Linked DNA regions of Macaca mulatta. The protein of the gene in region 2 purifies or fractionates together with the protein of the main gene of each other region. This does not show direct contact. Links are inferred from orthologs where the notes say so. Each region holds a gene or a part of one and is shown on either strand. Other genes may lie near its edges. The genes, in order: TOX4, PPP1R10 and PPP1CB.

Evidence for each region.
Region 1: the proteins of PPP1R10 (region 2) and TOX4 purify together in Homo sapiens (affinity purification with mass spectrometry; 3 studies listed by BioGRID and IntAct, counting the BioPlex papers as one, with this or other methods). This does not show direct contact. The link is inferred for Macaca mulatta from reciprocal best matches to the Homo sapiens genes PPP1R10 and TOX4.
Region 3: the proteins of PPP1R10 (region 2) and PPP1CB purify together in Homo sapiens (affinity purification with mass spectrometry; 5 studies listed by BioGRID and IntAct, with this or other methods). This does not show direct contact. The link is inferred for Macaca mulatta from reciprocal best matches to the Homo sapiens genes PPP1R10 and PPP1CB.

Annotation. Positions count from the first base shown.
Region 1 is NC_133412.1:94,347,025-94,354,565, reverse strand, and holds part of TOX4 (TOX high mobility group box family member 4), read right to left. Parts: intron 3,864-7,541; coding exon 3,621-3,863; intron 2,732-3,620; coding exon 2,471-2,731; intron 2,156-2,470; coding exon 1,925-2,155; intron 227-1,924; coding exon 146-226; intron 12-145; coding exon 1-11. UniProt on the Homo sapiens protein: Transcription factor that modulates cell fate reprogramming from the somatic state to the pluripotent and neuronal fate. In liver, controls the expression of hormone-regulated gluconeogenic genes such as G6PC1 and PCK1.
Region 2 is NC_133409.1:152,436,763-152,445,100, forward strand, and holds the start of PPP1R10 (serine/threonine-protein phosphatase 1 regulatory subunit 10), read left to right. Parts: upstream 1-3,326; coding exon 3,327-3,433; intron 3,434-4,106; coding exon 4,107-4,193; intron 4,194-4,355; coding exon 4,356-4,491; intron 4,492-5,666; coding exon 5,667-5,718; intron 5,719-7,546; coding exon 7,547-7,624; intron 7,625-7,757; coding exon 7,758-7,931; intron 7,932-8,156; coding exon 8,157-8,262; intron 8,263-8,338.
Region 3 is NC_133418.1:96,185,074-96,192,614, forward strand, and holds part of PPP1CB (serine/threonine-protein phosphatase PP1-beta catalytic subunit), read right to left. Parts: intron 3,172-7,541; coding exon 3,020-3,171; intron 1-3,019. UniProt on the Homo sapiens protein: Protein phosphatase that associates with over 200 regulatory proteins to form highly specific holoenzymes which dephosphorylate hundreds of biological targets.

The DNA.
Region 1 (7,541 bases), on a different chromosome or scaffold from region 2:
TCTACAGTGGCCTAAAAGAAGACAAAAATAAATAATTACATAAATAAATAAATCACTTGGTTGTATTTACTTCTTAAAACTGCTAACAAATACTTCCAAAAAACTTCTTACTGGTTTAAATATCCATCTACCCTATCCCTCTTACCTGACACTCCTGGTTGTCTTTGTAAGCAGCCAGTGCCTTCAGATACTCCTTCTTGGCAGCCTCAGTTTTCCTCTTATATACCTGCAAAAAAGAGACTTTAAAAAAAAAAAAGACTCCCCATACTCCTAGGGAAGACTGATAGTTCTGTATTATTTATCAATGAATGACAATTCATCTTAGTCTAATCACTGACAACCCCTATCAGTGAATACAATTCTGAAAGCTAACAGTCAAGACAACCTCTATGGCAGACTCACTCCACTGAGCATATCTCTGAAAGACAACCAATCAACAGGAGTCTGGCAAGAATAGCTACTATTTATTTTATTTTTTCTGAGCCAGAGTCTTGCTCTGTTGCCCAGGCTGGAGTGCAGTGGCACGTTCTTGGCTTGCTGCAAGCTCTGCCTCCCAGGCCACCGCACCTGGCCTTTTTTTGAATTTCTTTTTCTTTTTTGGATTTAGACTCCTGGGTTCAAGCGATTCTCCTGTCTTAGCCTCCCAAGTAGCTGGGATTACAGGTGTGCACCACCATGCCTGGCTTGTTTTGGATTTTTAGTAGAGACAAGGTTTCACCATGATGGCCAGGTTGGTCTTGAACTCCTGACCTCAAGTGATCTGCCCTCCTCGGCCTCCCAAAGGGCTGGGATTACAGGTGTGAGCCACTGGGCCTGGCCCTCTTCTCACATTAAAAAAAAAATTTTTTTTTTGAGATGGAGTTTCATCCTCTCTCTTGTCTCCTAGGTGGCCCAATCTCGGCTCACTGTAACCTACACCTCCCGGGTTCAAGCAGTTCTACCTCAGACTCCTGAGTAACTGGGACTACAGGCAGCCACCAGCATGCCTGGCTAATTTGGTATTTTTAGTAGAGATGGGGTTTTACCATGTTGGCCAGGCTGGTCTCGAACTCCTTACCTCAAGTGATCCGCCTGCCTCGGTCTCCCAAAGTGCTGGGATTACAGGCGTGAGCCACCGTGCCAGGGCTTATTCTTAAATTCTTATAGTAAAATTATTACTGTGTGGGTTTAGGAGGTAAAGCTAAATACTACCACCACAAACAGCACAACAAAAGCCAAGAACAAACTAGAGGGTTTCACTCATCTATCCTTGTGATTAGCCCTTAGCCCTTCACTGTCACTAAGCAGAAGTGTGTAATTTAAGATGAAAGGGCTTGGCCCTACCAGAGCTTCTTCCACACATTATTTAGGTATTTTTGGGGCTGGGCGCGGTGGCTCAAGCCTGTAATCCCAGCACTTTGGGAGGCTGAGACGGGCGGATCATGAGGTCACGAGATCGAGACCACCCTGGCTAACACGGTGAAACCCCATCTCTGCTAAAAATACAAAAACAAAATTAGCCCGGTGTGGTGGTGGGCACTTGTAGTCCCAGCTACTTGGGAGGCTTAGGCAGAAGAGCGGCGTGAACCCAGGAGGAGAGTCTCGCTCTCTCTCCCAGGCTGGAGTGCAGTGGCCAGATCTCAGCTCACTGCAAGCTCCGCCTCCCGGGTTTACGCCATTCTCCTGCCTCAGCCTCCCAAGTAGCTGGGACCACAGGCGCCTGCCACCTTGCCCAGCTAGTTTTTTTTGTATATTTTAGTAGAGACGGGGTTTCACCGTGTTAGCCAGGATGGTCTCGATCTCCTGACCTCATGATCCGCCCGTCTCGGCCTCCCAAAGTGCTGGGATTACAGGCTTGAGCCACCGCGCCCAGCCGAAAACCTCTATTTTTATCTCTTTAAAAACTTTTGGAACATTCACTACTAGTTCCTTAACATTTGCTCACCTGTTTTTGCTCCTCTCCAAGACTATCCCACATGGAGGCCACAATTTTTGAAACCTCACCAAAAGTGGCATTAGGATTCTGTCCCTTGATGGCAGCCTGTGTATCACGAAAGAATAAAGCATATGCCGAAACTGGTTTCTGAGGTTCATTAGGATCTTTCTTTTTTCTCTTCTTTGGGGCCTTCTGCTTTTTCCCTGCTTCCACCACCACTGTCTTCTGGCTGGGAAGTTGCTGTTAAGAGAGAAAAAGAATTACACAATGGATGATGACAAGTATTATGTCTGGAAACTAGCCACATGTATGGAATTTTCAGAAATGCTAAAAATCATGGAAATAGCGTTAAAAGACACTGGTCAAGTATGGAGAACCAATAAGAATAGGGATTGAGAGAATTATAAACTGGAAATTGGTAGGTGGAACCCCATACCCAGAAAAGAGCAGAGGAGATGGCATGGTAAGGCTAAAGAATACTGATTAAGCTCTGTATCCCAAGAATTTTATCCTAGAATATCACAGCAGAATTGATTTTGGCAGGGAATGCCTCACCCTCCGGAAATCCTCAACACCATCCTCATGAAGTGAACTAGTAGGTGAAGGCGTGGTTGAAAGACGATCTTCAGGTGACTGGGCAGGTGGTAGGATGGTGCCACCCCCTAAGCTCAAACCCAGTTGGGAACTCAGTTCTGACTGATCAATGGTGGTCAACTGGCTATGCCCCATCAAGCCAGATGTCATGTCTGTCATTGGTACATCAATTGTAACAGGTGGGTTGGCACTATACTGAGTTCCTATAGAGTGGTCCAAGTCCTGAGAGAAGCAGAAGGACTAATTAAACAGTAAATATAAAAAAACACCACTTTCCCCCCTAAATTTAAGATAGCTTATAAATTCCCTGCCTACCCAGATTGTATCATTTAAAATACAAAACATAAAATAGTCTTCAAAACTGAAAATAAAAACATAAGCTTTTTTAAAAAGTACAGAAATTAATGAATTTACTTCTTTGCACTCTAAAGAAGAACTAAAAATAATCAGAGAAGTCATACTGTTGGAGAAGTTAAAGAGCTATCAACTTACTCAGTAATCTATAAGTAGGGACAACACATTGAGTAAAGAAAAACTTCCTGTCTGTACCCTCCCAAAATAATAGCTTTTAAAATAATACACAGGCAGTCAGCATAAATAGGCCAATATTACAGAAGTTTGGCATCAAATATAGAGTGTGAAGATGTGCTACTGGTTTCATGTGCCAGAAGCCCAACATACTGATTTATATTACATAGTAATCTACAATACTATATTTGACTCAGACCTTTTTTTTAAAAAAAAGCTCTGATCTGCTGGCTTCTCAACATGATTCAGACCATTTTTTAATAAATCCCTCCACGTGCCAGCTATCACATTCAAATTTGAATCCTAGGATGTGAAGGTCATAATAAAAGCAGAAAACACTTTCCCAAAAACCACAATAATTTTCTAACCAGACATTGTACAATTTTAAATTATTTTTCAAGTAAAATCTACCTACATGGTAAATTTCATTTATTCAGGTGAAACTAAGTCTTTGTTGGTGAGCCTTTAGCCACAAGAAGACACACAAGTAATACCCAAGTGTAGTAGGGAATACAGTAACTTTTGTCTCCCCTAATGCCATGCCTGTTAGCTGGGGTAAGCCTGACAATCTCTTGCCCCTTACCATGGTCAAGCCCCCACTCAGGAGCCCCCCGCCCTGCTCCATCAAGCCATGGGTCATGCCCACAGGCATGTCCAATGTCTGGACCCCATACTGGGCTGAAAAACTGCCATCCTGTGAAGAGGAAGGGTCTGCCAGGTCATCAAAGTGGCCAACCACATCTGAGACAGCCAATGAGGGATCAGAATCCAAGGAGATAGGTGGGATTTCAAATTCCTCATCTCCCAAGCTTGGTGTATGGAATGTCTGTAGGGAAAAAAGGGGGAAAAGAATTAGCGAAAAGAGGAGAAATGGCATACTACTAAGTGAAGAACATAATGGGGTACTAGAGATTCTCAGGGTACATTTTTTCTGCTTAGGATCCTATTTTATAATCAATTTCTTAGAACCTATTATTTTTACCAATCTCTCTTCTGATACCCTTGGTCACTTGGTGCATTCAAGGCTGCTAACATCAGTCACAATTTTCAATTCTTTTATCTCTTTTCTACCATTACCACTCTTTTGTCCTAAATTATGCCTATTGTTCTAATGAAAAATTCTTCCAGTACCATTACTTAGAATACAGCCTTTATAACCTGCTTACTATGATCCTTGAAATCTCTCTAAAGATTCTAATAGAGCAGTTATTTCACAATTATTACAACTAAACTGTTAGGCCACAGAAATTTGCTGTCAGCCAGCCAATTGTACTTTGTTGTTTTAGGTTCCTTTCAAACAGATGCTAAAATGTACTGTCATGGAAACTTTATCCCCCTCTAAAATATTTGCACTTAGAGTTTCCTACTTCTTCTCCACTTTAGAAATTATAATGTTAACAACTAAAAATTCCCATTTGTTTTTTTTGTTTTTTTTTGAGACAGAGTCTCGCTCTGTCGCCCACGCTGGAATGCAGTGGCTCGATCTCCACTCACTGAAAGCTCCGCCTCCCGGGTTCAGGCCATTCTCCAGCCTCAGCTTCCAATGTAGCTGGGACTACAGGCGCCCACCACCACGCCCGGCTAATTTTTTTGTATTTTTAGTAGAGACGGAGTTTCACCGTGCTAGCCAGGATGGTCTCGATCTCCTGACCTCGTGATCCACCCACCCTGGCCTCCCAAAGTGCTAGGATTACAGGCGTGAGCCACTGCGCCCGACCAAGATTCCCATTTGTATACGATTTTCAGAAAACCTCAACAATGCCAAAAATGCTAGTCTTGCTGAACAAGCTTCTCTCTAAGAGAGGAAAAGGATTACTCCAGCTGGCTAAAGACCCAATCTCTTCCTGTGAGTCCAACTAGGTCAATAATAATACATTCTTTCTCTTCTGAATGAGGCCACCACTCATGCAGCTAACAGACCAAGATATGATCTAAGATATGTTAAGTGCTATGGTTCTGTTTTGACACTGAAATCTAAATGGTGGCATTTGCAACAATAGACAATTATAAATAATAGCAAGAGACTGCTATCAGAGAGACCTGGGTACAAGACCTTGAACAAGTTTTCTTCATCTGTAAAATGGGAATTACAATGGTAATCCCCTTATATGGTTATTATTAGGATAAGTGAGATTTCATGCATAAAAGCTTAGCACATTGCCTGATACATATAATGGCTTAATAACCATCATTAACCATTGTTATGAATAATATCCTAATAATGATTCCTTTGCCCCCTACCCCAACCAATTATCACAGATAATTGGAATTTTAGAAACTTTAAATTCTATCAATCTAACACATAGCATAGTAAATATAAACTGATTCAGATCAAATTCAATTGGTACCCACTTTTTTTTTTTTTGTAATTGAACAATGCATTCTTTAAATAAGAGTTCCTAAAGGTTTCATTTTTTTTTTTTTTTTTTTTTGAGATGGGGTATTGCTCTGTCACCAAAGCTGGTCTGTAATTCCTGGGCTCAAGCAAGCCTCCAGCCCCAGCCTCCCAAGTAGTTGGGACTACAGGCATGTGCTGCCACACCCAGCTAATTTTTAAAATTTTTTGTAGAGACAAGCTCTCCCTGTGTTGCCCAGGCTAGTCTCGAACTCCTGGGCTCAACTGATCCTACTGCCTCAGTCTCCAAAGTGTTGGGCTTACAGACCTCAAGGTTCCTCTAGATCCTGAAAGGTTCTTCTATTATGACCATTTCTGTTTTTTTTTTTTTTTTTTTTTTGAGATGGAGTCTTGCTCTGTAGCCCAGGCTGGAGTGCAGTGGCGTGATCTTGGCTCACTACAACCTCTGCCTCCAGGGTTCAAGCAATTCTCCTGCCTCAGCCTCCCAAGTAGCTAGGACTACTACAGGTGTGTGCCACCATGCCCAGCTAATTTCTGTATTTTTTAATAGAGACAGGGTTTCACCATGTTGGCCAGGATGGTCTTGATCTCTTGACTTTGTGATCCGCCCACCTCGGTCTCCCAAAGTGCTGGGATTACAGGCACCGGCCACTGCGCTTGGCAGTTTTATTTTTTTTCTTTTTTGAGATAGAGTCTCCTTTGTCACCCATGATAAAGTGCACTGGTGCAATCTTGCTCACTTCAATCTCTGCCTCCCGGGTTCAAGTGATTCTCCCACCTCAGCCTCCCAAGTAACTGATACTATAGGTGCATACCACCACGCCAGGCTAATTTTTTTTTTTTTTTTTTTTTTTGAGACAGAGTTTCACTCTTTTTGCCCAGGCTGGAGTGCAATGGCATGAACTCTGCTCACCACAACCTCCGCCTCCCAGGTTCAAGCAATTCTCCTGCCTCAGCCTCCCTAGTAGCTGGGATTACAGACATGTGTCACCATGCCTGGCTAATTGTGTATTTTTAGTAGAGACGGGGTTTCTTCATGTTGGTCAGGCTGGTCTTGAACTCCTGACCTCAGGTGATCCGCCCTCCTCGGCCTCCCAAAGTGCTGAGATTACAGGCATGAGCCACCCCGCCTGGCCACGACGCCAGGTTAGTTTTTGTATTTTTTGTAGAGATTGGGTCTGGCCATATTGCCCAGACTGGTCTTGAACTCCTGGACTCAAGCCATCACCCTGCCTTGGCGTCCCAAACTGTTGGGATTACAAGCATGAGCCACAGCGCCCAGCCGCCAATTCTGGTTTAATGAAGACATTAGGCTAGGAGCGGTGGTTCACACCTGTAATCCCAGCACTTTGGGAGGCCCAGGTGGGTGGATCACACGAGGCCAGGAGTTCGAGACCAGCCTGGCCAACACAGTGAAACCCATCTCTACTACTAAAAGAACAAAAATTAGTCAGGCATGGTGGCACACACCTGTAATCCCAGGTACTCGAGAGGCTGAGGCACGAGGATCGCTCGAACTCAGGAGTTGGGGGTTGCAGTGAGCCAAGACTGCATCACTGCACTCCAGCCCGGGCGACAGACCAAGACCATGTCTAAAAGGAAAAAAAAAAAAAAAAAAAAAGAAAAGAAAGAAAGAAGAAAGAAAAAAGAGAAAAAAAAAAGGCTAGGTGCGGTGGCTCACGCCTATAATCTCAGCACTTTGGGAGGCCGAGGCAGGTGGACCACTTGAGGTCAAGAGTTCGAGACCAGCCTGGCCAACATGGTGAAAATCCATCTTTACTAAAAATACAAAAATTAGCCTGGCGTGGTGGCGGGTACCTGTAATGCCAGCTACCTCAGGAGGCTGAGGCAGGAGAATAACTTGAATCCAGGAGGCAGAGGTTGCAGTGAGCCGAGATCGTGCCACTGCACCCCAGTCTGGGTGACAGAGGGAGACTCCGTCTCAAAAAAAAAGACATTGCTAGAAAGAAAATTTCCAGCTAGCAGAAACTAGGGAGAAAAAAGTATGCCTGTGAAATGCCCAATCTCTGTGAATCACATTTGTAAAAATTTCCTAAAAGACAAAAAGATATACATAGTTTCATTTCTGTATTTTCCTTCTCCTTACTATTTTACTTGGTATGGTAAAAAATTTGGTCCTTGTCTGAG
Region 2 (8,338 bases):
CTGAACCAATTCAGTCCTGTTCATTGGTGATGGATGTGGAATAACTTTAGCTATGCTGGATATTTTTTCACCCTATTTATTTGAATAGCCCTCAAGTAAAATTCATTTTGAAGGCAGGAGTTGGTGTCACAGACGTTTATCTCTGGTAAAAGTGGTAGAAAATTCCCCAGTGCCTTGTGCCAGTAGAGTATGGCTCTGCCTGAAACATCTCCATAAGGAAAGCATAGCTTAGGATGAGGTGGACCTACGTAGGCCAGGGGGTTGCTCCCTCACTCCCCACCTTCTGTATGTTCTGCAGTCAAGGAAATAGCAGCTCACTAAAAAAAGACATAATCATGCCCTGGATTATTCGTGGTTCCAGAAAGCTTTCTCAAGCTTTCATTCTAGACTCCAGATCCTGAGTAGGTAATGTTACAACACTTAGTCACAGCCCCTGCCTTCCTTCATCAACTCAGTTTGCCTTCTCAGCTGTAGCCCTGTGCCCGGAATGTTGGACTTTACATTCCTTCCCACTTCAGTGCCTTGGAGCTTGTTTGGTTTTTTCCCAAAATATACTGACTTCCAAGTAAGGAAACTAGGTTATAAGACACTTAGGGTCCTTAATTTTAAATAAGAATGAATCTGCCTAAAGGAAGGCCATCATGAGAAAACCCACTTATATTTTATCAAGATTGGTGCTAATGAGACAAAATTTCACTTATATTTCCAAAATATAAGTAGTGGAAAATGAATGTTTAACACTAATTTTGCTTTGTCTCTTAGCTTTCCTTTGACTATTAATGTTTTTTATTCTTGTTTATACAAATGGGAATAAAAAAGTCCTTGGATCCCATTCCCAGCAGAGGGCTCTGGACAGAATTTAGCTTTGTACTCATTGGTCCATTTTTCTAAGACTGGCTCTTCTGTCTTGTCTCCCATCCTCTGAAGGAACACTTGAGCTCAGATGACAGTTTATTTAGTGTCTGAAGGAAATAGAGGTAGCTGGTCTATTTATTGGTTTAGCTTGCAGTTGGATATGCCAAAGGGAATTCTCCAGGGTTGTATATATTCAGCCCTGGGTTTGAACCAGTCAAGTCAAGGGGAACTGGTTTGAAATGATGTTTAATTCAAGGCCTTTTGTCAAGTTGCATATATTTTGCTTTGGGAATCTAATGGTAGGTATGTGTGTGTATATATAGAGTTTTAAAAATTTCTTAGTCTCTTGATTGCTTATGTTATTATTGGAACCCATACATTGCTTTTCCAGTCTCCAACAGATGTGATATCTGTTTTATATGTCCCTTTATCATATCTCTTTATAGTTTCTATAGATCACTTTATATTATCTCACTACATGGGAAGAATACCTTTATTTCTGTGTCTGTGTAAGGATCACCATACTTGAGTGGATTTGGCCCACGAACGTCTAATCTTTTCCAGTATTCTCCTTGAATGTTTTTTCTCTGACCTCAGGTTCCACTTGTACTTGTAGAGGTTCCAGGGCAGCAGTGACTTCTCAACATTTCTTGCCTCATCTCTCCCTTTGTTCGGCCCACAGGTTATGACCGCCAGAGCCAAGATTATACTGCTTCCCTTCCTGGCTGCCTCCTCCCTGCTTCTGCTGCTGCTCGCCTAGGTTGTTAGGACCTCCACATTTGGAAATTTATTGACCTTTTTGTTGGGAGGACTAAAAGGCTGAGATTGTTATGCTTATGTTTTTTCTTTTGTTTGAGAACAAATAGAATTAATTTGCATTATCTCACAAGAAACCTATGTTTTTTTCCGGCACAAAAATACTCATCTTTGTAAAATACTGATTTTTCTACCCTTCTGCGGGGATTGTGTCTGTTACCTCTGTGCTAGATGTAGGATGAGGAAGGTTTTGTTCTTGCCTCTTCCTTGCTACCCAGTGTTGGCCTTATTGCCCAAAGGCAGATATTGCTGAAATGGCTTGCTTTTTTGGTGGTTTTTTGTTTGTTTGTTTGTTTTTGAGACAGGGTCTTACTCTGTCGCTCAGGCTGGAGTGCAGTGGCACAATCACAGCTCATTGTAGCCTCAATGTCCCTGGGCTCAAGCGGTCCTCCCATTTTCCCACCTCAGCCTCCTGGGTAGCTGGGACTACAGGTGCACACCATCATACTCAGCTTATGTTTTGTAGAGATGAGGTTTCGCCATGTTGCTGAGGCTGGTTTCAAACTCTTATGCTCAAGGAATCTGCCCACCTTGGCCTCCCAAAGTGCTGGGATTACAGGCGTGAACCACAGCACCTGGCCTCTTTTTTGGTTCTTAGAAGCAAGTATTTAGAGGCAGTGTAGATACAAATCCCAATCAGAACAATATTGATTGTAAATTACCTTTCTGGAACTTCAGTTCTGCCCTGTCCCATAAAAGGAGCTTAGCTTTTAACTAATTCCTTTTCCAACCTGGTCTAAAACAGCTGCTTAAAAGGGAATTTTTCTAGCATTTGACTTTATCTATTCCATTCTTTAGTTTCCATGGTTTTCAGTTTTAGGCTTTCCTAGGGGATCCACAGCGTGATTTTTGAGGAGAGGACCAGATTTACATCTTTGCTTTTGAAAGCACAAACCACTAGCTTCCGTTTAACATGGAGACAGTAAAAACTTGTGCAGTGTTTGGTTAATGAGTGACAGTCTATTCAAGGCCTAGGAGGACCTGCTTGATTTCCTTGCATCCATTTGTCTCAATATCTGGCACCTACCTCCAGATCTCCTTAGGGAAGGATTCTGTTTTCAAGTTTTGTTTTGTTCTCTATCATCTACCACTTCAGCTGATAGATATCTTGCCTTATGTCGTGATTATGACTCTTAATGGGCTAAGATAAAAAGGAATCAACTCTTACAAGACATTTAGCTCAAACACCCAAGATTTGGCCCAATTTCTGTCAAGCTATAGGCTGTTTTTCAAGCCAGATTTTTCAGCAACTAGGGAAGACAGGACTTAACAATAGGTACAAATGCCCTGGAGAGTTGAACATCTTGTTATGAGAACTGAATCTTAGCTCTAGTACGATCTAGTGAAGTTCAGCCATCCTAGGAAGGATGCTACTGGGAGGGAGGGACAGGTGTGCTGCTCTAGTCCTCCAATCGAATTGCTTTCCTGTTCAGTCACATATGCTCCCCATGTTTAACTTGCTAGGGCTATTTTCTCGGTAGTGGCAAGTGGTCTGTGTTGATTTTTCATATCTAAAAAATAGCATAGTTGAATAGTCACTATACTTTGTCAGATGTAGAGATGTGGTTTATTAGAGGGCCTACTCGGGTAGTCCTTGCCACCCATTTATTCTGTGGGTTTGTTTGTTTTGTCCTCTTACCATAGAAACCACCATCATGGGTTCTGGTCCCATAGACCCCAAAGAACTTCTCAAGGGCCTGGACAGCTTCCTTAACCGAGATGGGGAAGTCAAAAGTGTGGATGGGATTTCCAAGATCTTCAGGTGAGTCTTTACCCTTTTTTGGATTCATTGTGAGTAGAGAATATTGTGTGTTAAAATATGGCTGCAGTTGAGGCAGACTGGAATGATCCTGGAAAGGAAAGGGAAAGACAGTCAGTGCAATAGGATTAAAATCTAACAATTTTAGGGTAAGGGATAGGAAAAGATGATCACTTGGTTTCTGACCATAGCGGAAGCTGGAGATTTGGACGTCCACAGTCCCAAGGGAGTCATATGTTGGAATGAGAGCAGGGTAGCCTGGTAACAGAATTCTAGATTGTTTAGGTTCATGTTCCACCTACCTATAATGTTATTTTCTTTCAGGGATTCTCAGGTTCAGGGGAGAGTAAATAAGCCAGTCTTGAACAGATTATTAGGGACAGTTGTTGAGGGCTAGCCGTATCACCTGGGGGCAGAATGACATTCATCCTGTGTGTTAGGGAGGCAGTGATGCTCTCCTCCCCAGGTCAGGGACTTCGGTGTCTCTGTTCTCCCATAAGTTTCCATGTTACACTGGATCCATCCCATCCTCCTAGAGGTATATGTGACTCCCCCTCTCTGGAGCAAAGTCCCAAATCATCAGGAATCTCTAGGCAGTTCACAGATTAGAGAGGCGCTTTTGCTAAGAGAAGAGATACTGGCTGCTTCATTTCTAACCCTCACTCATATCCTGCAGTTTGATGAAGGAAGCACGAAAGATGGTGAGTCGATGCACTTACTTGAACATTCTCCTGCAGACCCGTTCACCAGAAATACTGATCAAGTAAGTGGGGATCTGGATGGTTGGAATGGGAAGATGTAGCTAAAAGATGGGGTGGTGAGGCATGGGGTTCCAGGGGCATTGATGGGAGACTGGGATCGTGGGATGTGGTACTTTCAAAACCTAGAAAGGGCGTTACTGATAGACTCTCCTGCCTGCCTGCAGGTTTATTGACGTTGGTGGCTACAAACTTCTTAACAATTGGCTGACGTATTCAAAGACAACCAACAACATTCCCCTCCTCCAGCAAATACTACTGACCCTGCAGCACCTACCACTCACTGTAGACCATCTCAAGCAGGTACCTTTAGTCTTTAAACCCTGATTCTTCTTTTTTTGGTTTCGTCTAACAGATGAAAACTCACACTGACTGATGTTGGCTGTGATCTTGGGCCTGTGAGATAGAATGGCAGAAAAATAATTTAGAATAAGAAGACTTGGTTTGAATTTATCTCCTTTAATAGGTGTGTGGCGCCTGGGTGCGGTGGCTCACGCCTGTAATCCCAGCACTTTGGGAGGCCGAGGCAGGCAGATCACGAGGTCAGGAGACCGAGACCATCCTGGCTAACACGATGAAACCCCGTCTCCACTAAAAATACAAAAAATTAGCCAGGCATGGTGGCATGCATCTGTAGTCCCAGCTGATCAGGAGGCTGAGGCTGGAGAATCGCTTGAACCCAGGAGGTGGAGGTTGCAGTGAGCCAAGATCACACCACTGCACTCCAGCCTGGGTGACAAAGCGAGACTTATCCCCCACCCCCAAAAAAAAGAATGTGTCAGGCCGGGCGCGGTGGCTCACGCCTGTAATCCCAGCACTTTGGGAGGCCGAGGCGGGCGGATCACAAGGTCAGGAGATCGAGACCACGGTGAAACCCCGTCTCTACTAAAAATACAAAAAACTAGCCGGGCGTGGTGGCGGGCGCCTGTAGTCCCAGCTACTCAGGAGGCTGAGGCAGGAGAATGGCGTAAACCCAGGAGGCGGAGCTTGCAGTGAGCTGAGATCGCGCCATTGCACTCCAGCCTGGGCGACAGAGCGAGACTCCGTCTCAAAAAAAAAAAAAAAAAAAAAAAGAATGTGTCAGCCGGGTGTGGTGGCTCACACCTGTAATCCCAACACTTTGGGATGCTGAGGTGGGTGGATTGCTTGAGCCCAGTAGTTAAAGACCAGCCTGGGCAAAAATGATAAGACCCTGTCTCTACAAAAACTAAAATTTACCCAGATGTGGTGGTGGTGGTGCATGCCTGTAGTCTCAGTTATTTAGGAGACTCAGGTGGGAGAATCATTTGAGTCTGGGAGATTGAGGCTGCAGTGAGCCAAGATTGCTCCACGCACTCTAGCCTGGGCAAGACAGTGAGACTCCGTCTCAAAAAAAAAAAAAAGGTGGGGGGGAGCATTGTAACTTTTGTCATTTTTAGCTCTAAGTGGAATTATTTGCCTCCTGGCATTTACCTTTCTGTTGCTCCCATTTCTCATAGAACAACACAGCTAAACTGGTGAAGCAGCTGAGCAAGTCAAGTGAGGATGAAGGTAGGTGCCGCTCCTGCTCTCTCATGGGCTTTTCTCTATTACTTCCACTTCATTACCTTAATATCTTTTCCCATCCTTGGATTGTCGCTTCACTTTTCTCTTTCTGTGTCACCTTGCTTTTTTTTTCCTTCTTTTAAAGAGAAAGTTCCTCTAACCTGTACCCTGTTTCCTGTTCTCAATTCCAAAGTTGTTCATTTCTCTGTTGCTGAATATAAGGCGCCATACTTTAACTGGAAGCTGATTCCTAAGATTGCTTGTTATAAAACACATACACTTAAAATTCACTGTGGGAAATAGTATCATCCTAGCGTGTCTCATCATCTTTCACTTCTGTTTTTCTAACTATAGCATATTCTGGGAACTTTAATAACTGTTTTCCTAACAGTAGATGTACTAGTTCTACCAATAAACATATTCCTGTAGGACATGGGCAAAATCTTGACTCTTGAAATATATCAAAGCGCCGGGCGCAGTGGCTCACGCCTGTAATCCCAGCACTTTGGGAGGCCGAGGCGGGCAGATCACGAGGTCAGGAGATCGAGACCATCCTGGCTAACAAGGTGAAACCCCGTCTCTACTAAAAATGCAAAAAATTAGCCAGGCGTGGCGGTGGGCGCTTGTAGTCCCAGCTACTTGGGAGGCTGAGGCAGGAGAATGGCGTGAACCCGGAGGCGGATCTTGCAGTGAGCCGAGATTGCGCCACTGCACTCCAGCCTGGGTAACCGAGCGAGACTCCATCTCAAAGAAAAAAAAAGAAATATATCAAAGCTCTGATTCTTTCCTTTTCTAAAAGAGTTGTGGAGCTTCTGGCAAGGACCATATAGTTCTGTCTTGAAGACAAAGCCTGTCTCCTTTAGAAATTTAGAGTTTCCTTTATCTCTACCCGGGCACACAAGATACCAGTTTCCCACCAAGTGAGCAGTGATCTATTTCCAACTGGCTTAATTGTGTTGCTCTCTTTAAATATATATTTAATTACCATCATGCCTTTAGATATTGAAATTTGTATATTCCCTGTCGGTTGTAGTTAAGTCTCACCGGAACCATAGTTATCAGTTACTCCAGAAAGATTTTAGGATATTCCTGCATTGAGGTTCATGTTGGCTTAGGTATAGAAATTGCTAATTGTATGACTGTTTCAAAAAGTTATGTTTTAGTGTTCTGTGAAAATCTTACTGTTAAATGACAAATTATGAAATACGTCTCTAAGTGGAAATGTTGGCCAGAAGAGAGGTGCCATAGATCAGAGATGTTATTTGCCAAGTACAAAAGGAAAGAGTTACAAAAGTATTTTTTCATTTAGAAACAAATTTTATGCTTGTTTTTACATCTATAAAGGAAAATAAAAAGTCTTCAGATTGTTGTAACAATTAGGTGTGTTATACGTAAAGCAACTAATGTAGCTTTTTAAAAAAATGTCAGTAGTTTTTGAGGAACTGGTGGATTTTGGTTACATGTATAAGTTCTTTAATGGTGATTTCTGAGATTTTGGTACACTCATCACCCGAGCAGTGTACATGGCACCCAATGTGTAGTCTTTTACTAATGCAGATTTTAACCACATATTCTGAAATAAATATTAGGTCTTTTTACTCCAGAGTGGTGTGATGACATCAGAGTTGAAAGTTATTTGAGTAGAACACAACTCTTAATTCATTGTTCCATTTTTTAGGAGTTTGGTTTTTAAGCATATCTCATGTTCTTCTTAAAACTTTGGATTACTTTCTCCATTACATAGATTTTCACAATATTTTCTCAAACCTCCCATTTTCTGTTCCTGGAAGAATATTTTACATTATTAGGCATTTCCCCTTTCTCTCACCTGCAGAGCTCCGGAAATTGGCCTCAGTCCTTGTCAGCGACTGGATGGCTGTCATCCGCTCTCAGAGCAGTACTCAGCCCGCTGGTAAGCTCCTTAGTCCTTTATCCTTTGTATTTATTTCTTTCCTACTGGGATGTGGCCTTTCGGTACTCCCAGTCTGCTTCACCTCTGACAGTGTTTAAATAAAATCCATTTCTGCTTTGTTTTTTCACGACAGAGAAAGATAAGAAGAAACGTAAAGATGAGGGGAAAAGTCGAACTACCCCTCCTGAGCGACCTTTGACAGAGGTGAAGGCTGAGACCCGGGCCGAGGAGGCCCCAGAGAAGAAGAGGGAGAAGCCCAAGTCTCTTCGAACCACAGCACCCAGTCATGCCAAGTTCCGTTCCACTGGTAAGACTGGCGGCTGGCCTCTGGAGGGTTCGTGTGCATGTGCACACCCAGAGCCTTATGGGGGAATCATTTGATGTGTGATATGTTAATCGTAAGGAAGAGAGAAGATTAGCAGAGGAAGCTTTGGTTACAAGGTTAGAAGAACATTTGCGGGTGAGAACGGGAGGAAAATTCAGGGGTTTAGGGGTTTGAGTTCAGCTGCCCACACCATGCTGCTTTCCCCAGGACTAGAGCTGGAGACACCATCCTTGGTGCCTGTGAAGAAGAACGCCAGCACAGTGGTGGTTTCTGACAAGTACAATCTTAAACCTATCCCCCTCAAACGTCAGAGGTATGGACCATATTCTCAGGTTCTGAATGGGGTGGATCTGTGGACACAAGGGAGCAAGAGGGGGTGAGTCAGAGAT
Region 3 (7,541 bases), on a different chromosome or scaffold from region 2:
TTCTGAAAAGAGCAGTGAATAAAGATCTATGGCTGAAAAAAACTGATTATCAGGGGTCATTTTAGTTATGAAACTTAGCAATTCTGCCTTGTTATCTAATAAATAGAAGGCATATTTATCAAAATCATAAACACAGTTTTACTGATTTAAAAAACTGTTTGCTGGGCTGGGCGCGGTGGCTCACGCCTGTAATCTCAGCACTTTGGGAGGCCGAGGTAGGCAGATCACGAGGTCAGGAGTTCAAGATCAGCCTGGTCAACACAGTGAAACCCTGTCTCTACTGAAAATACAAAAACTAGCCAGGTGGGGTGGCGTGCGCCTGTAGTCCCAGATACTCAGGAGCTGAGGCAGGAGAATCACTTGAACCCGGGAGGCGGAGGTTGCAGCGAGCCAAGATGGTGCCACTGCACGCCAGCCTGGGCGACAGTGTGAGACTGTCTCACAAAACACCACCACCACCACCACCAACAAAATACTACTTTGCCAAACAACAACAACAAAATACTACTTTGTCAAAAGCAAAGGATGTGGGAACATGACCTCATTTCAACGGAACCACAAAAAAATCCTGCTAAATAAAAGTGGCATGTAATATACAATATGCAAAGAATGAAAAGCCAGGCACTTGTATCACTTAGGATCAAAGAAAGAGGCAGCAGCAGTGTGTGTCACGGGGAGTAAAGCTCCAGAAAAAAAGGGAAGTACTGTGGGACAGCATATACTTAATTAAATATGCTTTTATTAGTTAATTTATTCAACACTATGTGTGCATGATACAATATGCTACAATGTCAGCAACTGTACAAATCAACAGAGATTCAAAAACAAGTCGTAATCCCTTCCTTAGAGAGTATGCAACCTAGTGGTGGAGGACATAAAAGATAACCAAAAACCCTAAACTGTATAAATGTTTTTATAATGAAAAATTTCAAATATACACAAAAGTAGATCAAGAAGACTTGAATTAACTCCCATTAACTCATCAGCCTAATTCAATACCTTTCATGATTTTGCAACATTTGTTTCATTTATCTTCCCCCTCCCCCTTTCTCTCTGCTGATATTATTTTAAAGCAAATCTCAGGCATGTCATTTTACCTCTACACATTTGAGTATGCATTCCTGGAAAAACACAGACATTCTTCTTACATAACAATTAATGATTATGACACAGCTAAAATAATTGATACCGGCCAGGAGCAGTGGCTCACACCCATAATCCCAGCACTTTGGGAGGCTGAGGTGGGCAGATAACCTGAGGTCAGGAGTTTGACACCAACCTGGCCAGCATAGTGAAACCCTGTCTGTACTAAAAATACAAAAATTAGCTGGGTGTGGTGGCAGGCACCTGTAGTCTTAGCTAGTTGGGAGGCTGAGGCAGGAGAATCACTTCAACCCGGGAGGCAGAAGTTGCAGTGAGCAGAGATCGCGCCACTGCACTTCAGCCTGGGTGACAGACTGAGACTCGGCCTCAAACAAAAATAAACAATTAAAAGATTAAATAATTGATACCTATTACCGAGTCTACAATCAAATTTTCTTTTTTGAGACTGGGTTTCACACCCATTGCACGAGCTGGAGTGAAATGGTGCAATCTACACTCACTGCAACCTCCGCCTCCCGAGCTCAAGCGATTCTCCTGCCACAGCCTCCCAAGTAAGCTGGGACTACAGGTGCACACCACCACACCTGGCTAAGTTTTGTATCTTCTGTAGAGACGGGGTTTTGTCACGTTGCTCAGACTGGTCTCCAACTCCTGGGGCTCAAAGGATCCACCCACCTCAGCCTCCCAAAGTGCTGGAATTACAGGCATGAGCCACTGCACCCAGCCACAATCAAATTCTTCAATGGTCTAAAAAATGCTTTTTTAAAGTGTGGTTTGTTCTTATCAAAATCGCCATTATGCACAAAGACCATACAAAAATGAGGCTGGGCACAGTGTGCTCAGGCCTGTAATCTCAGCACTTTGGGAGGCCGAGACGGGCAGATCACTTGAGCTCAGGAGTTCAAGGCCAGCCTGGCCAACATAGTGAAACCGTGTTTCTACTAAAAATACAAAAATGAGCCAGGCGTGGTGGTGTGCGCCTGTAATCCCAGCTGTTCCGGAGGCTGAGGCAGGATTGAGCCTGGGAGGTGGAGGTTACAGTGAGCAGAGATCGTGCCAGTGCACTCCAGCCTGGGCAACAGACTGAGACTCTATCTCAAAAAAAAAAAAAAAAAAAAAGAAAAAAAAATCTAAATCATGTCTACAAAGCTTCAAAGCCTCACTGAAAATTTTGTTAGATTTGCTGTATACTACAAAAACACATTTTTTTTTTTTTTGAGACTGGGTCTGGCTCTTTCACAAGGGCTGGAGAGCAGTGGCATAAACATGGCTCACTGCAGCCTTGATCTCCTAGGCTCAAGCGATCCTCCCACCTCAGCCTCCCATGTAGCTGAGACCACAGGTATGCACCACCACACCCAACTAAATTTTTTATTTTTTTGTAGAGATGGGATCTCATTTTGTTGCCCAGGCTGGTCTCAAACTCCTGTGCTTAAGCAATCCATCTACCTCAGCTTGCCAAAGTGCTGGGATTATAGATGTGAGCCACCACGCCCAGTCCCCAAATATTTCTAAACATTTCCTCTTTTAGGGTGATAAAAGGTTAACAAATCATTAGATCGTTAAGTGTGAGATGCAGGAACTGGCTCTGCCGCCTCTCCTACTGCTTTCCTTGTACAACTCATTTAGGTTTCTTGGATATGTTTCCTCAAAACAAAATGAGAGGACTTATGTGAAGTTAACAAATAATAAACGTTTAAGAGTCCAGGTGTGGTGGCACACACCTATAGTCCCAGCTACTTGTGAGGCTGAGGCACGAGAATTGCTTGAACCCAGGAGGCACAGGTTGCAGTGAGCAGAGATTGCGCCATTGCACTCCAGTCTGGGTGACAGAACAAGATGCTGTCTGCCCTCCCCGTCTGCCCCCAAAAAAAGAAAGAAAAAAGAAAACACTTAAGAGTCTTATCTTTCATACCTGATGAGCTCGACAAATCAAATCTAAATCATGACGATTCAGAAATTTACTGACTACATCAGCTCCAAAAGTAAAGGAAACACCACGATCATTTTCTCCCCAGCCTTGCACATCCTTATCTGGATCAGACCATAGCAGATCACAGAGCAAACCTTTAAAGGACAGAAATACAGCAATTAAGAACAAAATTTACAGATTTATAGCACATCTACATCAAATTTCAGTTCCTCTCTGACCCTCTTACTTTTAACTAAACAATGACAATCACTTGCCCAGCCTATGTAACTCATATTTTTGTTAAAGCAACCATACAAATATAATCTTCCAGGGCCTCTTAAGGTAGTGCTTTCCAACCCTTTCCACATATAGGAAATATGTGTATGGCACTTATAGCACAATAATATATGGAAAACACTGTTCATCTTTTGTGTAGTTTCTCCATATGAATAACCAAAGAACCCAGCAGCATTTCCTCAATAGTTCATCCTTTCCTTACAGTTCCACTGTTTCTGAGCACCAGTCTATTCCGTTAGTCTATTTGATTCATCCCTGAGCCAGTAACAGACTAGAGCTTTTAAACAAGTCTTTATATTCGGCAGGGCTAGTATCCTCCATTTTTTTTTCTCTCAAGATTGTCTCAGTTACTTTTTGATCTTTTGTTCTTCCACATAAACATTAAAAACAATTTGCCTAATTCCATAAAAAACTCAATTGTGATTTCATTGGAATTGTATTTGATCTATAGATCACTTGAGGGGGAAAAAAAACCATTTTCTACTGAGGGCCTGAGGATTTTTTTTTAAATGTGGAAGAACAAAATCAGATCAGATCCTTCACTTTGGTAATGTCTGGAGCCTTGGAAAAGAGGTCACGGTTAAAAATATTTACCTGAGTATTGTTATCATATTAATGGTAATGGAAATCTTAAGAGGCACTCAGACCACCTTGGGAATACAAAGTGAGAAGACCAGTAAATGAATTCTGAGGACTCCAAACATTTAACAGGCAGGCAGGTGAGGGAGAATGAGCATAAGTATTGAGAAGGAATGATCAAGACAAAAGGCTTAGTAAAGGTATCCTGAAAGGGGAAACAACTGTCCTAAAGTAGGACATGTGCCATGAACAAGGGCAGTAGGACAAAGACCAAAAATGTGCCACTTACAATTAAATCATCAGAACTTAATGCAAGTTTCTTGGTGATTGAGGGTAACAGAGTGGGTAAAAGTCCAACTGTAGTGATATTAAAAGAAGGGTGGATGTTGAGATGATAGTGATTTTCTAAGAATTATAGTGGCTAAGATATATATATATATGTGTGTGTGTGTGTGTGTGTATATATATTTATTTGAGACGGAGTCTCAGGCTGGAGTGCAGTGGCGCAATCTCGGCTCACTGCAAACTCCACCCCCGGGTTCATCCCATTCTCCTGCCTCAGCCTCTTGAGTAGCTGGGACTACAGGCGCACACCCCACACCCAGCTAATTTTTTGTATTTTTAGTACAGACAGGGTTTCACTGTGTTAGCCAGGATGGTCTCAATCTCCTAACCTCATGATCCGCCTGCCTCAGTCTCCCAAAGTGCTGGGATTACAGATGTGAGCCACCGCGCGCGGCCGAGAATATATTTTTTAAAAAGTAAGTCAGTTTTAAGAATTTTAAAGAATCCATAAACATCACAGTATGGTTTAGGAGGGAAGGACATCTTCATTTTCAGTTACAGTACATCGTATCTTGACAGAGGCATTATAAAACCATCTGTAGAATTAGTGGCAATGTACTCAGTTTCTATCGTTGATATATCCCAAGCTTCCTGTATGATGTTTTAAGAAATTCACTAGCACACAAAATCCACTGGAACAGTCAGTCTCAAATCGTAAGCCCTTTCTGGTTGAAGCTGACTCTTTGAAAATATACACACACCCAGTGCTTAATAAAGCTCTCATACTTTCCAGCCTGTTTCCAGTAGAAAGCTAAGGTATTAAGAATCTATAATTTCAGTGTGACAATAACTGTATAAAATTAGAATACAGTTTAAGGTTTAGGAAATATGACAGTGTGGATGCATTAAAAAAATCAAATAATGGTAGCAACAACAATCTGGAATTCTTTAACCTTAACAGGGTCAAGATAAGAATTTCAGGCCGGGTACGGTAGCTAATGCCTGTAATCCTAGCACTTTGGGAGGCCAAGGTGGGCGGATCACCTGAGGTCAGGAGTTCCAGAGCAGCCTGGCCAACATGGTGAAACCCCATCTCTATTAAAAATACAAAAATTAGCTGGGCAGTGGCAGGTGCCTGTTATTCCAGCTACTCGGGAGGCTGAGGCAAGAGAACTGCTTGAAACTGGGAGGCGGAGGTTGCAGTGAGCTAAGATCGCGCCACTGCACTCCAGTCTGGGCAACAAGAGTGAAATTCCGTCTCAAAAAAAAAAAAAAAAAAAAAAAAGGTTTTCAGTCAAGGTTCATTGTTTAATGAGCTAGCATCGCAATCAACTAGACTGTTTCAAATAATGTATTAATTTATAAATTAAATTTCTGAATGTTGCAGACGCTATCAGAGATTAAAATAATCGTTTTCAGCATCTCAAAAACTTCTCATTAAAATATGCTAAAATAAAATATGCTAAAAATAGAAGCCTAGCATATCACACTTGAAATTTACATCTGAACTATAAACAAATTCTGAAGAATGACTAATACATATTTATATTATACCTTATTTTAAAAAAAGCACTTTGGGTGTTTTTTGAAAGACAGGGTCTCACTCTGTCACCCAGGCTAGAGTGCAGGAGCACAATCACAGGTCACTGCAGCCTCAACTTCCTGGGCTCAAGTGATCCTCCTGCCTCAGCCTCCTGAGTAGCTGGGGCACCACCACAGGTGGCTAATTAAATTTTTTTTTTCTCTCTCTCTGTAGAGGTGGGTGTTATGTTGCCCAGGTTGGTCTCGACTCCTGGCCTCAAGTGATCTTCCTGCCTTGGCCTCCCAAAGTGCTGGAATTACAAGCACGAACTAGTGCACAAGGCCTAAAAACAGCATTTTAAATAAAATACTATTTAAATACTAGTTTCTATTATATCAAGTCAAATGTATTCTATAATGACAATAAAAAACTGTGATAAAATGCATACTTTTAAAAATAATCAACACAAGTCGTGTTATGTAAAAAAGCTCAACGCAGGCCAGAGCAGTGGCTCACGCCTGTAATCCCAGCACTTTGGGAGGCCAAGGCGGATGGATCACGAGGTCGAGAGATCAAGACTATTCTGGCCAACATGGTGAAACCTCGTCTCTACTAAAAATACAAAAAATTAGCCGGGCGCAGTGGTGGGTGCCTATAGTCCCAGCTACTCAGGAGGCTGAGACATAAGAATCACTTGAATCCAGGAGGCAAAGCTTGCAGTGAGCTGAGATTGCGCCATTGCTCCCCAGCCTGGTGACACAGAAAGACTCTGTCTCAAAAAAAAAAAAAAAAGCTTATAACACAATTTATTACAACATACAGTGTATTACATGGCTACTGACATCAGAGGATCTATACCATTTATAATGGTTGATGTGTAGTGCTGAGTAGCATTTTTTGTGGTGGTTGTTTCTTTTTTTTTTTTTTTTTTTTGAGATAGTTTCACTCTGTCACCCAGGCTGGAGTGTAGTGGTGTGATCTCGGCTCACTGCAACCTCTTGTCTCCCGGGTTCAAGTGATTCTCGTGCCTCAGCCTCTTGAATAGCTAGGATTACAGGTACGCACCGCCATGCCCAGCTAATTTTTGTTATTTTTAGTAGATATGGGGTTTCGTCTTGTCTGGTCAGGCTGGTGTTAAACTCCTGACCTCAAGTGATCCTGACCACCTCAGCCTTCCAAAGTGCTGGGATTACAGGCGTGAGCGCCACTGCTCCCAGTCTTCCCACAGATTTCCAATGTAATTTTCACAAAACTGACCACAGGTCTCTAGAGCCTTAAGAGCTCTAAAAATTTAAGCCAGGTACAGCCCATGCCTGGAGTCCTAGCTACTCAGAAGCTGAGGCAGGAGGATTGCTTGAGCCTAGGAATTCGAGTCCAGCCTGGGCAACAAAAAGAAATCCCTCCCACATCCCCTTGAAAAAAAGCTCTAAAAATTTGAAATAGAGGATGCAGAAAATAACAAAAAACTACTAGACAATTCAAAAGAAGGTAGTTGTATCCTTGCCTAAGAAGCAAAGAACAGATTATTTTAGTTAAAAAACTTTTGGCTAATTTAACAAGTTTTTGAAAAACAACCAATGCCAGGATGAACGAGGGAATTTAGAAAAATAGATGAGGACTCAATAGCAAAATATTTTTTTGTGATCAAATAAGGGTGACAGAACCATATTATGACTATAAATAAAAAGGTTCCACATTTTGAGGATCAGTGCAAAGTGAAAAATTTTGTATTACTGCAAATAAAGTAATCTGCAGCTGGCTTACTGACTATAAAAAAAACTCTTTTATTTATTACATAAACCAATCCTACTTCCGCTAAATGTAATCAGGTTCAAATATGAC